2 linked regions of the Mus musculus genome follow. The protein of the gene in region 2 purifies or fractionates together with the protein of the main gene of each other region. This does not show direct contact. Links are inferred from orthologs where the notes say so. Each region holds a gene or a part of one and is shown on either strand. Other genes may lie near its edges. The genes, in order: Gng2 and Gnb5.

What was found.
Region 1: the proteins of Gnb5 (region 2) and Gng2 purify together in Homo sapiens (affinity purification with western blotting; 4 studies listed by BioGRID and IntAct, with this or other methods). This does not show direct contact. The link is inferred for Mus musculus from reciprocal best matches to the Homo sapiens genes GNB5 and GNG2.

What each region holds. Positions count from the first base shown.
Region 1 is NC_000080.6:19,871,914-19,876,415, forward strand, and holds the end of Gng2 (guanine nucleotide-binding protein G(I)/G(S)/G(O) subunit gamma-2), read right to left. Parts: intron 4,023-4,502; coding exon 3,894-4,022; 3' UTR 646-3,893; downstream 1-645. UniProt on the Homo sapiens protein: Guanine nucleotide-binding proteins (G proteins) are involved as a modulator or transducer in various transmembrane signaling systems.
Region 2 is NC_000075.6:75,304,602-75,309,110, reverse strand, and holds the start of Gnb5 (guanine nucleotide-binding protein subunit beta-5), read right to left. Parts: upstream 2,824-4,509; 5' UTR 2,738-2,823; exon of another isoform or gene 1,626-2,737; intron 1-1,625. UniProt on the Homo sapiens protein: Enhances GTPase-activating protein (GAP) activity of regulator of G protein signaling (RGS) proteins, such as RGS7 and RGS9, hence involved in the termination of the signaling initiated by the G protein coupled receptors (GPCRs) by accelerating the GTP hydrolysis on the G-alpha subunits, thereby promoting their inactivation.

The sequences.
Region 1 (4,502 bases), on a different chromosome or scaffold from region 2:
TACTGGGGGTGGGGGTGGGGGTTGGGGGGGGTGGGGGGGCAGTGTTGAGGCAAGAGGATTACAAGTGTGAGCACGGCCTGGGTTATAGACTGAGTTCAGGGTCAGTCTGAGCAATAAGGCAAGATCCTGTTCGAGTTTTTTTAAAGCAGAGGAAGAGCTAAGCATCTAGCTCACTGAACTTTCTCGGCATTTATGCAACCATAGGTTCAATTCCCATCCTGAGGGGAGAAGCCTTTGTTGACTGAATCTAGAATCTGAGGGCTCTGTCTTCTCTAGTATAGTTGTAAAATCACAGACAGAGAATAACACACTCTGAGTGGGGTGGGGGTGGGGTGGCATTATTGTGCAGCTACAGCAAGTTAAAATCTCCTTACATCTCTCTCTCTCTCTCTCTCTCTCCTAGCCTGCAGGACTCTGAAGACCCTCCCTCCAGTATTTCTCCATTCCCAAGGGCTGTACATGAGGCACAGTGACGAAGGGAGAGGACTCCTACACAGCACCAGATAAATCTGCTATGAACAGACTCCTAAAGAAAATAATTTTCTCTGTTTTCCCGACATTTTATATTTCCAGGTCCCTCTTAAATCAATACTCATGTGGGAGGTGGTCCACAGGTCTTTGCAATGAAAGTGACCCCGTAGGAAATGAATCTGAAAATTCCATTTATTAAAACAAATACACCGTTCATGTGGGGTAAAGATGCGCACATCACATTCAGGTTTTCCTGCTTTAACATTTCTAAGCTGGGTGTGGTGGCTCATGCCTTTATTCTCGAGTCAGAGACAGGGGAATCTCTGAGTTCGAGGCCAGCCTGGTCTACAGAACAAGTTCCAGGACAGCCAGAGCCACATAGTAAGACCCTGTCTTGAAAAAACAAAAAACCAACACAAAACAAAAAAACCCAACTAAACAACCAAACAAAAAAACCCAAAAAGGAAAAACCCCACCAAAACACAAGACCCCCCATTTTCTGTTTTCCCCTCTTTAAAGACACATTCCACAGATCTTATACAGGAAAAGTGTTAAGCTCTGAACAATTGTACAATTGTTGGGCTGTGAGACAGTAATATACATATAATTCGCCATTTGCAGGAGCAGCTAGAAATAAACACCAAGGGGAAAAAAACATAAAAAAACACACTAAAGGTCACCAGCTTGATTTTCTCAAAACTCACCGTGTGAATACAAGGATATGGGAAAAAGTATGATACGTCTTCTTAAATCCAATGATTTAAATTATATTTTACCTTCGAATGTAAAAACATTTAAAATCGGAGTTGATTATTAAAAATGGTTCAGGTATTTTAATAGACACTGCATTATAAGTATGACATTAATTATTAATTCCATGGCAGATTGTAATTGTTATACAGGTATATAGAAATGAGGGCCTTAAACAGTTAAACTGAAGTTTCCTATTAGTTACCCTAAGGTAAAATTATGCTGGTGACAATGATGGTTCACGTTGAAAAGAATTAAGCTCTTTGGAGATCCAAGTAAACAAACCTTTTTCCCTTTAATAAATACAAACATCAAGAAGTCAAATCTGATTCCAGCTATAGCTCCATACTGAAGGATATGAAATTGTAAAAAAGATGTTTTCCTGAAATTTCTATGTGGAAGAGGATTGAGTTTCCTGCCTTTTTATTCTATAAGCATGCTCACAAGTCATTTGCAAATTCTGAATTTTTAATTGTTAGGCCTGTATAAGGGGCGCCCTAAAGATTGTGTTTCCACTGGAATTGCTTCAGAGATCTCAATTTACACAGAAGTCCAGAATCCTCCTCGAGTACCCCACCCCCAACCAGCACAGAGTGCCCCAGTCACAGCTGTTGACACGTGAACACAGATTCATGTCAGCTCACTTTGAATGTGTGATACTTTCAGCTGATCCCTCAGTATTGATAATTGAATTACAGTGCAGTTCTCTAAAGACTGACAGTGGTTCTTTTTGTCTGTTTTGTTTTGTTTCTACCATTAAATCTTCATGAGCGTCCCGCAAACTATAACAAACTCCTGAGGACAGAAGTTTCTGCCGGAACAGAAGTTTTCGGCTACAGAATTGCATTTGTACATTAATAATCATTCCGGTACCCTCTTCTCTCCCACCCCAGGTCTGAACTTTAATTGGACATAGTTAACTCCTTTAGCTGAAAGCCCATAAAAGAGTTAAGAGAAATATCTTACCATCTATTTGTAAAATGTGTCCTTGCCATAGGAAGTCTTTTTCCCTTCTCTTTCCTTTAAAAGTACCACCAACTTTTAAACCATGAGGAAGAGAATGGTAAGAGGAGAAAAGAAATTTTACTTGGATTTAGTGGTCTTTTAGGATCTGAAAACAAAAAGAATCGTAAGAGGCTCTCTTTGACTGGGTAGATGACAAAATGTCTGAAGGCAGCCGAGGCCTTCTGTTACTGATGGAGGAGACAACTGTCATGAAAAAAAAAACTCACTCTCAATGTCTTACTGTGGGAGGAGAGCTCTAGCCAAAGGAAGCTGTAAATAGAGTGGTGAGGCTCTGACGAACGGGGTGGAGGGCAAAGCAGGGAATGCTTTGAAATTTTGGGGGAATGAGCTGGAAGGAGAGCCAACTGCAAGGGTTGGTCGGAGCACAATTCAGGGACTTTGTCTCTCAAACGAGCATTCTGAGGCTGGCTACCTCCCTTAGAGCTGTGGCTTTATTTCTTCTGATGCTTGAGCTAAAGAGGGCCATGGTTGTCTAGCTATGAACATGGAACATGTTCTTTTACATATGCTTTCGACTGTTCCTGGGACGTGGGAACGAGATGCTATTCTGACAGTGCTTTTCCAAGTCATCGTGGATCCCTGCCTGGTCTCCAGTTGGGGGCGTGGGGGGAACTGTGCTGCCCTGGATCCTGGGTAAGTCCAAATGCTGCGGACTGGGGAAACCTGTCAAGAGATACTTCTACCACAGTTCACTAGGAGGTATTTCAGGCATGGCTAAGGCGCTGAAGTGATCCCAATTTTCAAAATACAGAGGATTTTTTTTTTCCTCCCTGGCCTCTTTTTCTCTCACTTCTCTTCTTAGCTTTACAGCTGAACAACGAAACTTCTGAATGGATGCGATGTAGGGACATGTTCATGCAATAGTACTCACAAACTATCACAGATATGGAAGCACCAGTCACAACACGTGGTTCACTTTAACTCGTAGAATCAAAACTGTCATATACAAATATTAAGAATAGTGGTAAGAGAACACAGAGAGCCGGAATTGTGTGGTGTGTGTGTGTGCGTGCATGTGTGTGTGTGTACATGTATGTATTTCTTTCTATTTTCTTGTTATTCTCATGAAGAAATCCCATGGGGAACACTTTTCTAAACATCTCAGGGTTCATTCCTGCTTGGAGTTGAGACTAACACACAAACCCAGTCTTATCCTCTCAGCCCTCTAAAAGAGAAGAAAGGGAAGGAAAAGAAAAAGGCACAAAAGACTAAACGTGGAAACCATTAAACTGGATTGTGGCTACATGGGGCGACAGCTTATCAGAGGGTATTTGAAAGACAATTCTCATTACCAGAATGTCAGCCATATCTCAGCTCAGGACACCGGCTTTAATGTTTATTTTGTTTATAAATATGAAGCAGAAATGTCTTAGAGGGACAGCAGAAAAGAAGTGATTACCATTCTCATTTTTTATACATTTCCCTCCTCCAGGCCGGTCTGCAGGGTCAGATCTCTAAAGTTGGGACACGGAATCAGCTTTCATTCTCATAAGGGGACATTTCTTTAAACATGCACAGCCCGGAGTGTCCAGGATGGTTCTCCTTCCTCTCTTTAAATGCTGTGGACGAGAAAGGCGCCCACTTTGCTAGGAACTCTACATGTATGTCCCAGGAGCCCCAACACTCTTCAGCCTCCTCTCAGAGACTTAAAGGATGGCGCAGAAGAACTTCTTCTCCCGAAAGGGGTTTTCTGAGGCTGGGACTGGGGTCAGCAGAGGGTCTTCCTTGGCATGTGCCTCACAGTAGGCCATCAAGTCAGCAGCTGCCTTGGACACCTGCAAGGGAAGGCAGAAACATCTGAGAGGATAGACAGGCACGGACCCAAACACCACCACTCAGCCACTCGGGACCCCAACGTTGGGCCCCACCACCTTGGAGCTCATCAGGCTAAGCCAGAGGACCTAAGTGAAGGACTGCGTCCCACCTGCATAAGCTCTGCTTCCAGATGTGTAGACAGGGTTGTCAGTAAAACTGAGCTGACAGAGCTGTTGCTAGCAGGTGGGGATCCAGGAGCAAAGCACTCAGGGCCTCAAACAAAAGAGCCACTTAACTCAGGAATCACGCAAAAGCCAACTCTCTCCTTATACTTTTGTACCATGATACCTCAGGGGCTGCACCTGAGTCCCAGCACTGGTGACTGGTGACAGGATTATACAAGTAAGATAACCCAGGTGTGATGGTTTGTATATCCTTGGACCAGGGAGTGGCACCATGTGAAGGTATGGCCTGTTGGAATAGGTGTGACCTGGTTGGAA
Region 2 (4,509 bases):
ACATGTACCCATTAACACACACTCACATACTCATGAACACAAATGTTTCCATGAACACACATACACATGGGGATTCACACACACATGTTCCCATGAACACACAAGCACATACTCATGTTCACACACACGTGTTTCTATGAGCACACAAGCATATACTCATGAACACACACACAGAGGACATGGAAGAATGTGCTCAGCAGAGCTTGGAGAATGTCTCCTACTCGCCAGCCCTGCTGTGGCTGCTGCTAGTCCCAAGGTCAAGCTGAGACATCAGGTAATAGCATTAGGGAAGAACATCCCTCAAGTGCATCATGCTCGGATTTGTTCTCCCAGAAGTAGGTCAGGGAGAGCACTGCAGGGAGATGAACCAGAGGGAGAGATTAAGAGGAAGAGACTCTCAAGAACTGTAGTGAAGGCTGAGAGCGTCTCCAGGGACAAAGGTCACGAAGGAATAGGTGTGTGTGTGGTGGCAGGGGGCAGTTCATCAGAAATAAAGAAAAAGATCTTGAAAAATTGCTAACGTTCCAAGTTTGAATAGAGACAATACTGTTTTTCTTAGTCTAAATTCCAAGTCATAGACAGCGTTTATAATGTTCATTATAAATAACTGGAAACAGGACATGAAAATAACTGAGTGTGTGCCCTGTAACTGCAGGTCCTGGACCTGTTCACAAGTCATGGTCTCATGGAGTGTCTTCATTGGCATAACTAGTTTGAATAATTGGAATGTGGAAGGGCTGCAGAGATGGCTTAGTGGGTAAGTAGAGGTGCCTGCTGCCAGGGCTGACAACCTGAGTTTGATCCCCAGAACCTACAGGGTAGAAGGAGAGGACAGACTCCCAAGAACTGTCTTCTGTCCTCCACGTGTGTGGCATGCTCATGTCCACACAGATACATGCAGAGTCAAAAAATACATGCCAGAAACAATGTGAGGTGAGGCTGGACCCTGGGCTCAGTTCCCAGCACTGGCATAAAATGCAGAACAAAAGCAAAATGTCCCTGGCATTAAAAACACATCTGAGGGTTTGAAGTAGCATTGCTTTTAGGTAAACAAGGGAAACAATTCAATGCCCATCAAGGGAAGAGCAGGCAGAGAAAACATAGCATGTCCATGAAGCAGGCTTGTTATCTAGCAATAATGAAGACTTGGCCCTGATTCTCACTGCAAGATGATGCACACCAGAGACATCTTTGTGTCTAAAGACAAAATGTCCACATGGTACCATTACAGGAGTGTCCAGGGCATACAAGACAAGTGAGAGCTCATCCATGGGCGATGAGAAGGCAGCGAAGGGAGAATCAGAGATAGCTCCATGCCAATGGGATTTGGGGGTGGGGTGGGGGACGGGGTACCCTGAGTTAAATAACAGCAAAGACTGGCATGCACATCCTTGTGCATAGATGAAAAAAACATCCAAACATTTTAAATACTGAGTTTCATATTGTGGGCCTGATAGCTCAATGAATTTTTTAAAAAGTGGGCAAAAATATTTGTGTAGTGACTCTTCAAATGAGGCTATTCAGGCAAGTCCCATGCAGAAAGCTGCTACCCAGAATCATTGGTCAGAGTCAGAGGTTAAAACCACAATGTGACACAATTAGCTATACCCAAGAATTCCTAAAACTTATTATATTTAGAACATGTAGAGGTCAAAGGGCAAACATTTTTGGTAACCAGTTTTCTCATTTCACCATATGGGTTCTGAATATCAAACTCTGGTTCTTGGGTTTGGTGTCTTAGCTTGGCCTGCTGAGCCATCTTGCTGGTGAGGCTAGGATACCTAATTAAAAAAAAATTGATATACAGGGGCTGGAGAGATGACTCAGTAGTTAGAGCACTGGTTGCTTTTCCGAAGGACTCGAGTGCATATTGTGAGGTAGACAACTGCTGTAGCTCCTGCTCCAGGGGATCCAGCACCCTCTTCTGGTCTCCAGGCAACGACACTATTATACCTACCCCGCACCCCAACATGCACATAATTAAAAAAAGATCTAAGACAAAAACTTCTGATATACAAAGCATGGGTGAGGATGTAGCAGCTTTCATTGCCTACATCCGGTGTGGGTACAAAGTGGTTCAACTACTATAGAGAACTGACCAGAAACAAACATATATAAAGAATTGCTGTGTGTGTGTGTGTGTGTGTGTGTGTGTGTGTGTGTGTGTGTGTGACAGAGAGACAGAGAGACACAGAGAGAGAGAGACACAGAGAGAGAGAGAAACCCAGCAATACTACTCCTGAGGTCAATAGAAATACATATTTATTTTCTAAAAAAATCCTACCACTGTCATATCAGCTTTGTTCACAAATAGTCCCAGGCCGGACATTTTGCATGTTCACCAGAAATGGACTGGATTCAAGCAGCAGAATACAACAGACCGGGGCTGAGGCAGGAGCAGGTGGACGCCACAGACCCACTGTGGTCATCCATCTGCTCCATCAGCTGTACGCATGGGGTTTGATTGCAGCTGGGCCAATTCTGAAAACCAATGAAGCTATTTTAAAGATGTTTAATTTGTTTACTGATGCCAACACTAATCTGTTTTTAAAAAATCCCTTTATAGTTTTGAGATAAAGTCGCAAAGGTTGTAGAGAAATTAGAATTTACACAGACCAGAACATAAGCACCCCCCACTGTGCACCCACCACAGGATCCCCATGATCCCGGTCTGTAGGAATCCAGGCATTGATGCAAAATTGAGAGCACAAGTTCCCTGAGGTTAAAGAGTACATACCTTACAGAGCAATGAACACCTGGGGTGGCTGGCCAGAAACGAGGGAGGTTACTGCGGTGGTGTGAAGATTTGAGCCATTGGTCACCTAATCCCTTTTATCTGGACTTGCAGCTCAGGGCCTGCTCCTCCCCATCTGCACACGCATGCTCACTGCCGGCCTCTCACTACCTGCAAGCACACACTCGCTTCTAGAACACTCTGTCTCTCTACATGATTTGGACCCCTCATAACTCCCATGTACCCCTTCCTGGGCCCATTTCTTTGCTCTCTGCAGGAGACAGAATCTGATTTGACCTTATAAATCTGCCTCTACTCCATGGAACAAACCTGACATCCTTGTGCTGTGTGGTGAGAGCATCTCTCAGCGCTGGCCTTCCTTCCAACCTAGGCATGAGTGATTTAGGCCCCGAGTAAGGCCTTCTCCTTTCTCCTCTGTGTATCAACTTATTGCTATCCTCAAGTCTCCTGTCTCCAAACAAGGTCTCCTACACTCGAACCCTTGTCATCGCCATGGGATCTGGCCAATTCTATCCCACCACCTAGCATTACAGATAAAATGTAGAATACGATGGAGTCCAGCCCTCTAGGAACTTACAGGATGGCCAAGGTTACTGGTGCACGACCCAGGTAAATGCTATAAAGTGGGCATGAATTCAAGCCAGAAAACCAGAACCTTAGCATAGTGACTCCTCACAGGGTGAAGGAGGACTGGAGTGGACACGGAGCAGAAACTCAGCCAACCCCATCCTGCCAGGGGGCCAGGGGGCCCCAGACACAGTCAGCAGGGTTTCCATACCTCAGGTGACAGACTGTGACTTGTGGAATTCTAACACCTTTCTGTCTGACCCTCAAGGAGAGACACAGAGCTGTGCGGTGAGAAGGCATGTAATCTACAATGGTAGGAAAAAAATGGTGCATCCAATTTGCTCAATAATTTATTTTATTTAAGTATTATAAAGTTCTATTTTCAGCACTTGGGAACAGTTTGGAAAGCCATCATGTCAGTAGGATGACTACACGTTTAGTAGGTGGTACTGAACAATCAACCGGTCGCCCCAGAGAGGACCATTCTGTGGTGTCACAGCTACTGCCTGTGACCATCAGACTGGAGGGTGGTCAGGTTGCTAGGGGTGCACAGAGTGATGGGTCTCAGCTCTGGGTCAGGAGTGCTCATCAGAGGACTCAGTTCTCTGAAGGGAAGGAAAACAGTTTGAGGGAAGGAATAACTAGTTCTCACAAAACCTGGGAAAAGTGGATTTCTCAAAAGGAAGAGCTTCCCCATATCTTCTGTTGTTGTTTTTTTTTTTTTTTTTCGTGAAAAAAAATTTAAAAAGCATATTAGAACACTGATTAGAAAGAGGAAAAAAAAACTTAAGTTGCACACGTGTGCATGTGTGGTGCTGGGGCCAAACCCAGGGCCAACTGCTCTACCACTGAGTTCTGACCCCAGAGATAAATGTAGTTTTAAAAGAAATAGCTGTATTTAAAAATTAAATGAAAGATTATAATAACTATGTTGGCTAATAACAAGTTTTAAAAATTTCAGAAAAAAGATAAATGGCATAAAATAGATAAATAAAATGCTCTTATTTATTTATATTTATCTATTTATCTATCTATCTATCTATCTATCTATCTATCTATCTATCTATCTATCTATCTATCTCTGAGATGGGTTCTCACTCTGTAGTCAAGGCTGACACTGAACTCGAGATAAATCTCTGGTCTCATCCTCCTGAGTGCTGGGATTCTAGTTATGGGTTACCATGACC